Linked DNA regions of Arabidopsis thaliana. The protein of the gene in region 1 interacts with the protein of each later gene in a pairwise test. Each region holds a gene or a part of one and is shown in the gene's direction. Other genes may lie near its edges.

Region 1 (5,486 bases):
GAGACAAGTTATATAGTTGTACAAGATAGCTGCAAAACATCTTACCTCATTTCCTTTGTTACCATAACTGATCGAGATCTCCTTCTTTGGGATAGGACGTTGAGCAACTGCTTTACAGAATTGTAGCACTTAGTTTTCCGCATACAGATCAAAAAGAAGAGAGGAAAAAGAATGTTCTGTATTGTTTGATTGAAAAATTGTAGAAAGCTGAGAGGTAACACAAACAAATATTTGGCCAACCAGAGAGAAGGTACATGGAGAAAGGAACCCTAGATACTGATCCGATCCCATCAACTTCCCAAGTCGCCACAGGCTTCAAATCTATACTGCCATAACCATAGGTCATTATATCACATCACACTGGGATATACTCATTAACCATATCAACATTATGGAACGGAGAAACTGATAATAGAGTCTTTTTGAAACAAAGATTGGCATACCATGGTTGCAAAAGTCAATGCCAGGAACAAGCCCCTCAACCCATATTGTATCTCCGGATCCTACAGATGGCGCAGGTTGAGCCTGAATTTCTACCCATCAGAAAATGAAGAAACCCATGAAATTGTCGTTACATGATAGAATAATAATAATTAAAAAAGAGGCATTTCACACAGAATTCAGCAGACCGACGTTAATGACTTGCCTTTTTCCTCATTAGAATTAACTGGAGCCGTTTCAGGGGACTCACTTGTTGATGTGCATTCCCCGGTATCATCTTGGCTTTGTGGAAACACGAAAGAATGTGGAAGAGGAATATTCAAGGCGCGACTCCAGAATACAGAGTTTGCCCTGGCATAATTGAAAAAAGTCGCAAGATCACTAAGCAGCCCTTTACAAGACACAAAAGTCTGGTTCTACTAACAAGGAATAACACCAGTACCAAACATACCAGAGGAAGTGTTCAAAGGAGACCTTGCTGCACGAAGAGAGAAAACAAAATATGATTATCAATGAACAATAATTTGGTCTAAAAGTAGTGTAAATATGTCAACCTTTCGGAATCGCCATCCAAAATAAGAAGCTTTGTCACCAGGACCTCCACCTTGTCATGGTAAAGCGAGAGCAACTTCTTCTTCTGAGAATGAATACACGATGGTTATTGGGTTTAATAAATGAAAAGAGAAAATGTGGTTGCTATTTTAAGGACGATATGATAAGACAGGAATAAATGATCAAGATTGAGACCTGTAACTCGGTTGCGTGATACAAGTTAGTCCCTTTTAGCTCAAGGATGTCATCATCAGAAAACCAAAGAGGATTGCCAAATCGAGTAGGAAGCATATCAAGATACCTATCATATCATTTCTAGACAGATGAATACCCTTAAGCTTACGTAAATGTGTGCTAAGAGATTAAAAAAAAAACTTACGGCTTCCAAGAAGAATTGATACGAAGACGCTCCAAAGTGAGGAACAGAATCATGAGAAAGCGGTCATCAACTTGTCCTTGTTCGAACATTTTCTGACACTCAGGGCCCAGGAGAGGGTCCTGAAGAACTCTCATAGGGGTAATGGCCAGATCAAGCGGAACAACAAGCAAAACTTCTGAAAATTTCCAGAGCTGAATCAGAATTCAATATCAACTTTCCATACATATTCCCCGGAAAAAAACCCAGCAAGAAATGGTAAGAACAATACTATACCATCGGAAGCTTGAGTGGAGGTGGAAGCGAATATGCCAAATCCTTTTAGGGAGTCAGAATATTTGATGTTGCAGCCTCTTAATTCACCTCCATTCACCTGAATGAAATTAGATCGAAACACAAAATGCCATGATATAGAGCAGCAGATCAGGACTGAAAAACAACACTTAATCCGGATCTAACCTGAAGCCAATCTAGGAACCTTTCGAGTTTGGCTTCTTCTTCTGAAATCGCCATATCCTCCGGCGAAGATCAATATGCCGGCGACGGGTTTAACCGAGTAGAGAGGGGTTTTCAATCGTAACTCACAATACGCTGTCGTAATGGCTTCATCTATGTGGGCTTTTGTATGGGCTTATTTAGCGTTTATGAACTTAAACACACCAAATTTAAATTTTTAACAAAAAAAGAAAAATTGAACAAGTGAAAAACGATAACCAAAAAAATCAAACCAAGACTGCTGTGATATCCCAAAACCGAGAACCAAAATATTGAACCGGGCGGCGTTAAAAGTCTCTCGCCGCAGTTAAACTCTTCCGTACGCCAAATATCTAACAAGGAGCTCTTTAGATTGAGACTAGTGGAAGAGAGACGAGCAAGGAATTAGCAATGGCGGCGGATTTGCCGGAGGCGACAGTACAGAACATTCTGGACCAAGAGTCTCTTAAATGGGTTTTCGTCGGAGGTAAAGGAGGTGTTGGGAAGACGACATGCAGTTCAATTCTCGCAATTTGTCTCGCCAGTGTTCGATCCTCCGTTCTCATCATCTCCACCGATCCTGCTCACAATCTTAGTGATGCCTTTCAGCAACGCTTCACTAAATCTCCCACTTTGGTTCAAGGTTTCTCTAATCTCTTTGCCATGGTAAGCTTTCTCCGATTTTGTTCTAGATCGTGCTAGATTTTAGAGGGAATTTGGTAGTTTCGCTCCTGGATTTTAATCTCATTGGGAATTAGGGTTCTCTGATTCACGAATTTCAAACCGCAGATTGATGGATCAATTTTGATTTTGAAGTCAGATTTAGTACTTGCATAAATACGGTTGATTTGTGCCTTTCTTATCATATGCCCACTCTGATTTTGGGGATTAGGTTTGGAATTTGGACGCCAATTTGTATTCTTGATACGGAAGGGGATTGTGAAGAAGATTTGATGTCCCCAAATCAAATCGAATTTTTGTCTATTGTAGTTAAAATTCATGGCTAGTTATGCCAAATTCAAAAAAAAAAAAAAAAGTTGTTTTTTGTGGTTCTGGGTCGCCTCTAATAGACAGGCTTGATGATGACTTTATGGCTACTCTTCTAAGCTTGAAGCTCTTAGTTGTGTCTGTGTGTATATGTATATATATACACATACTATAAGCAAATGGTTACGATTCACACTCCTTCCCTCTTGATAGTGAGTGAATCTTGTTTGCTTTTCTCAGGAGGTAGATCCTACCGTTGAAACTGATGACATGGCTGGTACAGACGGGATGGATGGTTTATTCTCTGATTTGGCAAATGCGATTCCTGGAATCGATGAGGCTATGAGTTTTGCTGAGATGTTGAAGTAAATAGCCATTTAGTTCTTCTAGTAATCATCTGCCTTTATCCATGTATTATCACAGTCAAATTTTGATATGTTTATGTTTCCTTAGGTTGGTGCAAACAATGGATTATGCTACTATTGTGTTTGACACTGCTCCTACTGGACATACTCTCCGCCTGTTACAGTTTCCGGCCACACTAGAAAAGGGACTTTCGAAGTTGATGTCATTGAAGAGTAGATTTGGTGGCTTGATGACTCAGGCATGTCTTTAAGCTTGTCAAATTCAGTTTGCTTGGCAACAGATATTGCTCTTTGGTTTCTTCTTTGGCTGATTTTTCATGGAACTGATTGGTAATGCAGATGAGCCGTATGTTTGGCATGGAGGATGAGTTCGGAGAGGATGCTTTGCTGGGAAGACTTGAGGGCTTGAAAGATGTGATTGAGCAAGTAAATCGGCAATTCAAAGACCCGGTAACATTTTTTCAATTGTTTAAGTTCTTTGCTATTTTCAGTACTCATTGACTGTTTTCTTAACTCTGTTCGTGAAGTTTAGTTTTAGATTCTTCACATTGTTCTGTAGCATACGGTTTGACAGCATTCATTTGCATTAGTGAAAATTCTGATACATATCTAACAAACTCTGCATTTTAAGATAAGAAATTGACACATTTGGCTCCATTACGTAGGATATGACTACGTTCGTTTGTGTCTGCATCCCCGAGTTCTTGTCTCTCTATGAAACAGAGAGACTTGTTCAGGAACTCGCCAAGTTTGAGATTGACACGCATAACATTATCATCAACCAAGTACTATACGACGACGAAGGTGCCTATTTATTTGCTGTCGTGTCTATCTTCTCGTTTTGAACTTGTTTTACATACAAATTTGACGAATTATCTACACTTGTCTTCTGTAGATGTGGAGTCCAAGTTGCTCAGAGCAAGGATGCGGATGCAACAGAAGTATCTTGATCAGTTTTATATGCTATACGATGACTTTAATATCACAAAGCTTCCTCTGCTTCCGGAAGAGGTAAGAACGCATGACATTCAATATAGATGAGAAGGAACATGATCAAGACGAAAATGAAACTAAAGCCTTATATAATATACATCCTGAGATTTACACTTGTTGTGGATGTTTGGATCACAGGTGACAGGGGTTGAAGCCTTAAAGGCGTTTTCACATAAGTTCTTGACGCCGTACCATCCTACCACTAGCAGGAGCAATGTAGAGGAGCTGGAGAGGAAAGTACACACATTGCGTTTGCAGTTAAAAACAGCTGAAGAAGAACTCGAACGGGTCAAGAGTGGCTAAAGATAAGGCTCTGTTCTTCCCTTTAATTGTAAGTTTCTTTCCTCGCCATATTCTTGGAACTCACTTGCTTTCTACATGGGGGTCTTCTGGATCTGCGTTGTCATTTGGGTTTATTGTTGTTTATGTTTTGAACAATTTATAGGTGGAAAATTAAAACTGAATCTTTTTCTCTCTAGTTCTTCATCTAGCAACAACTCTTTATAGGACAGGAAAGAAGATCAAGCAGAATCTTCTTTTGCGTTGTTTTATTGTTATGCATTGGATTTGTTTTTATATTTGTAATAATCATGACTACATAGACTCATATCTACCAAGAAATCGTTGTTTTACGACTTAATCAGCTTTTTATATATTAAGTTGAAGGGTATCTGTGACAAGCGAATGCTATGATCTCTTGTAACAGCTTTTTATATACTGTAGACTGGTCTTGCAACAGAGAAGGAAAATTCATGTAAAAAAATTATAGTAAATAAGAGATGTTTTGATTTATTGACAAATTCTTACAAGTTTAGGGTAAGCTTTTGTTCAATAAGTTTCTTTGGTATATAATAAATATGAAAATGGCAATCAATAGATGCGAAATTTATTCCCACGTCACGGCGATTGGGCTTCTGACGTTGTATTTGTCACATATCCAAACCAAAACTCCAAAGGAAGACGAAGACGAATTTCTCGAAGCTTCTGCATCATACGTCACCGTATAACTCAACCTCTCTCTGGCCTTCTGGAACTTGAGCACCTTTGGTTCAACTCTCACCTTCACACCTTTTGGTTCCTCAACGTGCACCATATACTCACAAGTCGGTGACCCAACGTTAGTCACAGTCCTCTTATATCTCACCGTTTTCAAATTCGCGCCATTAACGAGGTTGACCGCGAACGAGGGATAGTTCAAATCACCGGGACTCAAAACGACGGCGTTACTAGCACACGTGTAGTTAGTGCCGGAGAACAAGAGTATTCTCTCACTCGTGTAGTTCAAGCTGCACAAGTAG
Region 2 (4,569 bases), on another chromosome or scaffold:
TGAAATCAGCAGGATAAATTGATGAAGCTGTTCTAGATCTTCCTGGCTCACCGGGCTGCAGATAATATTCTTGCTCTGGTAGCTCAGTATCTGAAGACAAATCGAAAAGCCTAGCATACAAATATCTTTTAGTAAGCTAAAAAGCTCTTAAATCAGGATTAAATAAAACGATTTGATTCTTTATAATGAGAGACTGGACCAGATGGTAACATAGTAAGTCATTGCATGGCAGAAACTAACAATCTACAACCTTAGGAACTGATTTTTTCTACAATTTCTCTAACATCTTTCCATAATGATATTGATCAATATATTGACATGTACATCCACCTTCACTATCAGCCGAAAAGATTGTTACCTGAAAACTGCATCCGAGGATAGAATTCCCAAATGGGTGTCACTATCAGGGTGCCACGATGCTTGTAGCAAGGTTATGGCACTGTCACTACTAGTATAGATTTCTGAACCAATAGAAACTACCCTGCAACACATAGATTATGAAGTGATAACGTATAAGCAGAAGGCCATTAATTTAAGCAAGATAACATCATAATCAAGATAACAATGAATATAAATGCATCTTATTAGGGTAACGTTAATCACTACCTGCAAATGACATTGTCTTCTATCACAGAAGCACGTCCAAATAGGTACATCACACATATCCCATCTGAGCCGGCAAGAAGTACAGCTGATCCAGACTTATTGATGGAGATTTTGCTAACAGAAAATGTCACCTGAAGGTCTGGTTGCATCACCTATAATATCATTTATTAGTAAAGCTTAGTCAATCACTACATGATGAATCAATCACCTATAATTTATCTTATGTAGCAAAGACAACAGAGGAAAACTAAAGGTTTTTGACAGTAGTACATAGCAAGTAGAAAAGATCTTCCTATTATCATCCATCAGTAAGAAATCTAATTTCTCAAACTCTTCCTAAACCTAATTTCTCAAAGTCAGTAAAATGTCAGCACTAAAAAAGAGCTTTCGATAAATCTTCTTTTCAATACTCATTTTGGCCGACTTAGCGGTGAAAACAGAAAGAGAGAGAGAGAGAGAGAGAGAGAGAGTAAATGACCTTGGACGGGACTGCGGCGAGGACGGAGGATGGTTCAGGTTCACCCAAGCGCAGAGATAATCGGTGAAGGAGATATCGTCTCGAATCCCAGTAGTATACGCGCGAGTCTCCGTCCCAAGCCATGAAATTTCTCGGAAACAGCTGCGACACGGCGGGTTCATCTTGGGAGGAAGGAAGAGAAGCGAAAACCGGGTGGCTCTGGAGAGGAACCCACCTAACCGGCTCTTTGGGCGTCGGAGATCGTCGTGAATCTGGTGCATCCTCTGTCTCGTTAAAGTTAAATTTCATACTTTCTTCACTCGAGTGTATCTGTTTTCGTCGGAAGGAGATGCAGACACAGACACCAGATTCACGGCGGGAAGAGAAGGGAGAAAAGAAGCGATGAAGCAGATACAGTTGAAACGACTTCGTATTGACGTTTAATGGGCTTTTATTCGGCCCATTAACTATCTTCGAAACAAATTGAAATGAAGAAGCACTAACTGGTTTTAATATATAAAATTAAATCTGAACCCTAAATCATCGTCGCCGTGTTCTTCTCCGCTTCCACCGTCGTTGTATTCGTCTTCCGCCTCCTCTCCCATCGGTGCGTTTCTATCTCTTCCACCAAATGGATTCATTTACTCTTGGGTAAATTTTAGCTCTTGTTTGTCTATATTCATTATCTGGAATTTTAGAGGAATCTGTTTGTATTTTTTTACATCTCGTTGAAACAGCGCATCAATGTAGGATTAGCATTTATCTTTTCATAACTTGGGATGATCGTGTATGGGTCTACGGGTTGTATTGATCTGGTAAAACTGGTTTTAAATTGGGATAAACAAATTGTGTTCCTTGTTCACAAGATGATTATTGTCACTGTACTGGGTTTATCACAAGGATGAACATGATAATGTGAGAACCAGTATTGATATAATGTTTGCAAATATTAGAGAGTTCCGATTTCAATTTTTGTTTTCAGGAAGCAGTTTTAAATTATTCCCATGCATGTTGTTTGTGTAGGAGAAGAGAGTTTTCTAGTTAACTCTAGGTTATTTTTATGTCTTAAGAGGAATGAATTACATCTCTGGATGCAGGTTTTGAACAGCTTGGCAGAAGAAGTGAAACTTGAGAGAGTAATGGAGAACTTGGAAGATCTGAAAATTCTGGCTGAGCAGTGGTCGCATCAAGGAATTGAATATCTTCAGAAGATACCACCGAATCAGCTGTATGCCGCCATTGGTGTTTTGTTGTTTACAACCATCTTGCTCTTCCTATCCAGTATGTATTAGACACCACTTTGTTGTTTCTTAATCCTTTCCTAGTAGAATTGCTTTATTTATGTAAGATCTCCCCCTGGTAGTATCTTGTTTGCCATTGATAAGGACATATAGCCTGTTCTTCTTCTAAATGTCTTCAATTACTTTTCTTCTGCCTGCTATTGTTTACAACTGCAGAGGTTATAGTTCTCATGGTACCATTTTAGACTTGTGATTAAGCCAGAGTATTTTGTGTATTGGAATTAGAACTATTATTGCAATTTCTGAGGTTTATTCATGATTTTTCTTTGATTATACATAAACAAACTTTTGATCTTTTGTTGCTAAACTTGTTGTTCTTGCTGGGGTATGCAGTTCGCCTGGTCAGACGTACCAAATCCAACACTGTACTCCTTTCTGGGCTGACCGGAAGTGGAAAGACTGTGCTCTTTTACCAAGTGAGTGTTTTGGCTTGACGTTACCTTTTTCATATGAATATTGTTTATGACTTTCCTTCAAATGTACTTTTTTTTTGTAATGTGTCACTATTGTGAGTCAGTGTGAGTGACTAGGTCATTGTTGGAGAGTTATAACACGATAATTGTTTGATTGGCAGCTCCGAGATGGATCGTCGCATCAGGGCACTGTAACATCAATGGAACCAAATGAAGGCACTTTTGTTCTTCACAGTGAAAATACTAAGGTAAAGAATCTTACTGTGTTCTGTTGTAAACAACACGTGCAGTTGATTGTGATGGATGGAATAACATATTACTAAACCATGTCCCGTGCTTGCTCTTTGTGACAGAAAGGAAAAATCAAGCCTGTTCATCTTGTTGATGTTCCTGGGCACTCTCGGCTTCGACCCAAGCTAGAAGAATTCTTGCCCCAAGCAGCTGCCATTGTGTTCGTAGTGGATGCCTTGGAGTTCCTCCCAAACTGTCGTGCAGCTTCAGAGTAATTTCAAACACCCTCTCTCTTCCACACACACGCATTGTAAGACACAGATAAGAGACATGTTTGCATATGTTTGCATCTCAATGTTGAAAATGAGGCATTGCCATGGTTTTTTATGGTGATAGGTACCTATACGAGATTCTGACCAATGCGAATGTTGTCAAGAAGAAGATTCCAGTCCTCCTTTGCTGTAACAAGACCGATAAACTCACTGCACACACCAAGGAGTTTATCCGGAAGCAAATGGAGAAAGAAATGTAAGAATTTCAGTTTTCTTGACAAAATTTTCTTATATATAAAGCCTATCTTCCTGCATAAAAGCTAATCATCATTGGTTGATGAGTTTTTGCAGTGAGAAACTGAGGGCTTCAAGGAGTGCAGTCTCTACTGCTGATATAGCGAATGACTTCACCATTGGAATTGAGGGAGAAGTGTTCTCCTTCACGCATTGCTCCAACAAAGTCACTGTCGCTGAGGCATCTGGACTTACCGGAGAAACCATCCAGATTGAAGACTTCATTCGAGAATACATCAAGCCATGAGCTCCAACATGCCTTCATAGATTGAATCTACCACAAGTTTCTTATGCTTTGGGCTGTGACTTTGATTTGAGTTTAGAGATCCTTTTGTATATGAGATCTTTGGATGATTTAGGGTGTTCAAAACTGAGTAGCTGTATTTTCGAGTTAGATAATCTGTTTTAAATCGGAATGATTTTAAGGAAATGTTAAATGACTTAATTCTCTTGCAAAAAAGGAAAAGAGGATAATCATAGATAAGTGATCGTGCTTATCAACTTCGAGAAGATAACGCGAGAAGTCCTTGGGGATAAGCTAGAAACTGTCTTAACTAAGCCGGTAAATCCAAATTAAACCGGTAATTTGGTCATTACAATGCTCACGAGAGCATCACGTGTCTTCTTCTTCTTCTTATTCCCCCCCAAATTTCTGGACTTTGTCCTTAAGAAGGAGATGAAGAAGAAGAATGACTAATATGGCCGGAACCGCCACCACCGAGTTCCGGTGGAAATCACCACCACAGCCTCCGTCACAAGAGCAACCCATTTCAGATTCAGATTCAGACTCCGGATCTGATTCAGAGAATCATCAGCACCGTCACAATGATCTATCAAACTCCATCTTCGAAGCTTACCTCGATTGCCACTCATCTTCGTCCCCTTCCTCAATCGATCTCGCTAAGATCCAATCTTTTCTCGCCTCGTCTTCTTCCGGTGCTGTCTCGTGCCTTATCTGTCTCGAACGCATTAAACGAACCGATCCTACATGGTCC
Region 3 (3,221 bases), on another chromosome or scaffold:
CTTACAACTTTTCATAGGATGTGAGCAAAGCAAGAACACCAGAGAAGAAGAAAAGCACTACAGAGAAAAATGTGAGCTTAAGCGCTCTCCAACAACACTTCTCTGGGAGTCTAAAGGATGCTGCAAAAAGCCTTGGTGGTGAGACTTCCGCATATTTCCAAGCATGGGTTTATTTTTGTTAGCACACAAACTATCTGACCCTCGACTTGGATTTTCTTCTGCAGTTTGTCCAACTACATTGAAACGGATATGCAGGCAACATGGGATCATGAGGTGGCCATCTCGTAAGATTAACAAAGTGAACAGGTCACTAAGGAAAATACAGACGGTACTGGACTCGGTCCAAGGTGTAGAAGGAGGACTAAAGTTCGACTCAGCAACTGGCGAATTCATTGCAGTTAGACCTTTTATTCAAGAAATTGATACCCAAAAGGGTCTGTCGTCTCTTGATAATGATGCACATGCAAGAAGAAGTCAGGAGGATATGCCTGACGATACTTCATTCAAGCTCCAGGAAGCTAAATCTGTCGACAATGCCATTAAGTTAGAGGAGGATACAACCATGAATCAAGCAAGACCAGGTAAGAACTTCTCTATCCATAAACCATAGATGGAGCGATTAGAATCTTAATCCATTTTCAGTTTTTGCAGGATCATTCATGGAGGTTAATGCTAGTGGTCAGCCATGGGCTTGGATGGCCAAAGAGTCTGGCTTGAATGGCAGTGAAGGAATAAAGAGCGTTTGCAACTTAAGCTCTGTGGAAATTTCAGATGGAATGGATCCAACAATCCGATGCAGTGGCAGTATTGTTGAACCTAACCAATCCATGTCATGCAGCATATCAGATTCATCAAATGGCTCAGGCGCAGTTCTGCGTGGAAGCTCATCTACTTCCATGGAAGATTGGAACCAAATGAGAACCCACAACAGTAATAGCAGCGAGAGTGGATCAACAACGCTGATCGTAAAGGCCAGTTATAGAGAAGACACTGTACGTTTCAAGTTCGAGCCATCAGTTGGGTGTCCTCAGCTCTACAAAGAAGTTGGAAAACGTTTTAAACTGCAGGACGGGTCGTTTCAGCTGAAGTACTTGGATGATGAAGAAGAATGGGTGATGCTGGTTACAGATTCTGATCTCCAAGAATGTTTGGAGATATTACATGGTATGGGAAAACACTCGGTGAAGTTTCTCGTTCGTGATTTGTCTGCCCCTCTAGGTAGTTCTGGTGGCAGTAATGGTTATCTTGGAACAGGCTTATGACGTCGTAAGACATAGACACACACAGTTATGTATTCCCAGTGAAAGAATGTTGTTTATTTCTCTAGATATTAGTATGCTTATAAATAGGCATGAAGGAGAAAGACAATTTTGGTATAGTGGAGTTCAGCAGAAAATGTATATGTTTTTTCGTTTTATATGAATCAGAGAATAAAAGTTGGATGTTATATCTACGTTGCTAATGTTGTACCTGCTCACCCATCTTTCATATAAGAAAAGAGAACACTTTTAGTTATCCCTGTGATGCAGAATCGTATTCTTTGTTATCTCTCCATTCCTGTGGAAACCAACAAAGTCAACTAAATTTCGGTTTAATTGGTTGGTTTTTAAGTCAACGAGGACTTGATTTTAGTTGGGCTTGGGCCTATAATTGTGTTCATCATTGGGTTTTTTCCCCCTTATCAGTTTAACGTCCATATCCATATCTTTTTCTTTTTTTAACGGCAAAGTTCATATCCATATCTTATGATGTGCCTAAAAGAGGGAGAAGATGCGAAGACAGAATTTTCATATTTGAAAGGGTTCGATATCGATATTGGGAAACGAATCAAGGTCAAAAAACTCAGTCTAATAGTTGAAATTTAAAAATTTTATTAATTCAATCCGATTGGTTTCGTTTTGTTATGGTTCGGTTCTATATCATCAAACCAATCGGTTTGGTCCTAAAGATAATTATAAATATTCACCAACACCAGTGTTAAACACATATCAACAAACCTAAAGTTAGATAAACAAAGAGAAAATGGCAAAGGCTATCGTTTCCATCTTCGTTGTCTTTTTCATCTTCTTCTTAGTCATTTCCGGTAAGCAAACTTACTCTCCGTTTCTTGACATATTTGTTTATAACTTAAAATTTACCCTTATGTTCTGGCTACAAATCTCTTTGACCATAGCAAAATCATGATATGATCATTCTATCTTTTCTTAATTTTGTTTATAACAGATGTGCCGGAGATAGAAGCGCAAGGTAACGAGTGCTTGAAAGAATACGGAGGTGATGTTGGTTTCGGCTTTTGTGCGCCTCGGATATTTCCGACGATTTGTTACACAAGATGCCGTGAGAACAAGGGAGCTAAAGGTGGAAGATGCCGTTGGGGACAGGGCAGTAACGTCAAATGCTTATGCGACTTCTGCGACGATACTCCACAGTAAAATCTAAAGCAATCGCTAATCAATGCACTAAGGCTGCCATAGACGCAATTATTATACACGTTGTCTTTACGTACATTCACAAGTTTTAGTCATGGTTTGTGTAATAAATGAATGTGAATGGTCTATCCAAGTGATGTAATGTGAAATCAGAAATAATGAAAGTGTGACTTTTGCTACTACAATCATGTTTTGGTAATACAATTTGACTAAGAAAGAAGAAACGTGCGAGTTTGGTTGCCTCATTGTTGTTGTGAATTTGGTATCCACATATTCTTATCTGTTTACTATGTGGAGAGCGTTCCGACTGTTTTGCGGCTAATCTAGCCGGTCAAAGACGAAGTCTGAATGTGATGAAATGTCAACATAAGATTTTAAATGAGCTCTGGATGTGACGTGTTTAATATTTTCACATGTACGGTTATTAGAGTAAATTATGATAGTTTTAAAATTTGGAAGCATAAAATTATGATGCTTAAGAAAATCATTATCTGTTATTCTATTTCTTTATTATATAATTTATTTTAAATAATATTAAAATGAAAAAATAATAATAGTTTTACAATATGATTTTAACAAAAATATACAATTAATAAGTCCTTTTTGGTAAGGACTCACATAAGTTTTTTGGTACTGCTCATATACATTGGAAAGTAGGATTTAGTATAAAAACTTTCTCATGCAATTATATAGAAATGTATATTAAAAAAAAAACAATTATTTCAGGTTTTTCATGAATCATGATTTATTTTACCACCGTGCTATTATATCAGGGATATAAAGAGGCAAGTG

The links.
Region 2: the proteins of AT1G01910 (region 1) and AT5G05670 interact in a two-hybrid assay, tested with the Arabidopsis thaliana proteins (one large-scale study listed by BioGRID).
Region 3: the proteins of AT1G01910 (region 1) and TI1 interact in a two-hybrid assay, tested with the Arabidopsis thaliana proteins (one large-scale study listed by BioGRID).

The regions. Positions count from the first base shown.
Region 1 is NC_003070.9:312,600-318,085, reverse strand, and holds AT1G01910 (P-loop containing nucleoside triphosphate hydrolases superfamily protein), read left to right. Parts: upstream 1-1,995; 5' UTR 1,996-2,254; coding exon 2,255-2,509; intron 2,510-3,070; coding exon 3,071-3,195; intron 3,196-3,283; coding exon 3,284-3,434; intron 3,435-3,534; coding exon 3,535-3,645; exon of another isoform or gene 3,646-3,860; coding exon 3,861-3,999; intron 4,000-4,090; coding exon 4,091-4,206; coding exon of another isoform or gene 4,207-4,214; intron 4,215-4,326; coding exon 4,327-4,491; 3' UTR 4,492-4,932; downstream 4,933-5,486. Other genes in the region: AT1G01920 (SET domain-containing protein), read right to left, coding at 46-107, 241-321, 444-525, 630-792, 893-919, 996-1,078, 1,189-1,294, 1,373-1,547 and 2 more; SBTI1.1 (subtilase family protein), read right to left, coding at 5,075-5,486. UniProt on the Arabidopsis thaliana protein: ATPase required for the post-translational delivery of tail-anchored (TA) proteins to the endoplasmic reticulum. Recognizes and selectively binds the transmembrane domain of TA proteins in the cytosol.
Region 2 is NC_003076.8:1,695,168-1,699,736, reverse strand, and holds AT5G05670 (signal recognition particle binding protein), read left to right. Parts: upstream 1-1,545; 5' UTR 1,546-1,714; intron 1,715-2,160; 5' UTR 2,161-2,202; coding exon 2,203-2,344; intron 2,345-2,697; coding exon 2,698-2,780; intron 2,781-2,938; coding exon 2,939-3,025; intron 3,026-3,130; coding exon 3,131-3,279; intron 3,280-3,404; coding exon 3,405-3,536; intron 3,537-3,607; coding exon of another isoform or gene 3,608-3,631; coding exon 3,632-3,821; coding exon of another isoform or gene 3,822-3,839; 3' UTR 3,840-4,020; downstream 4,021-4,569. Other genes in the region: MOS7 (nuclear pore complex protein-like protein), read right to left, coding at 1-110, 359-481, 607-758, 1,085-1,372; AT5G05675 (uncharacterized protein), read right to left, coding at 3,608-3,759, 3,770-3,839; NF-X1-type zinc finger protein NFXL2, read left to right, coding at 4,264-4,569.
Region 3 is NC_003071.7:18,065,189-18,068,409, forward strand, and holds TI1 (trypsin inhibitor protein 1), read left to right. Parts: upstream 1-1,771; 5' UTR 1,772-2,022; coding exon 2,023-2,083; intron 2,084-2,223; coding exon 2,224-2,432; 3' UTR 2,433-2,672; downstream 2,673-3,221. Other genes in the region: AT2G43500 (Plant regulator RWP-RK family protein), read left to right, coding at 18-177, 225-581, 652-1,262.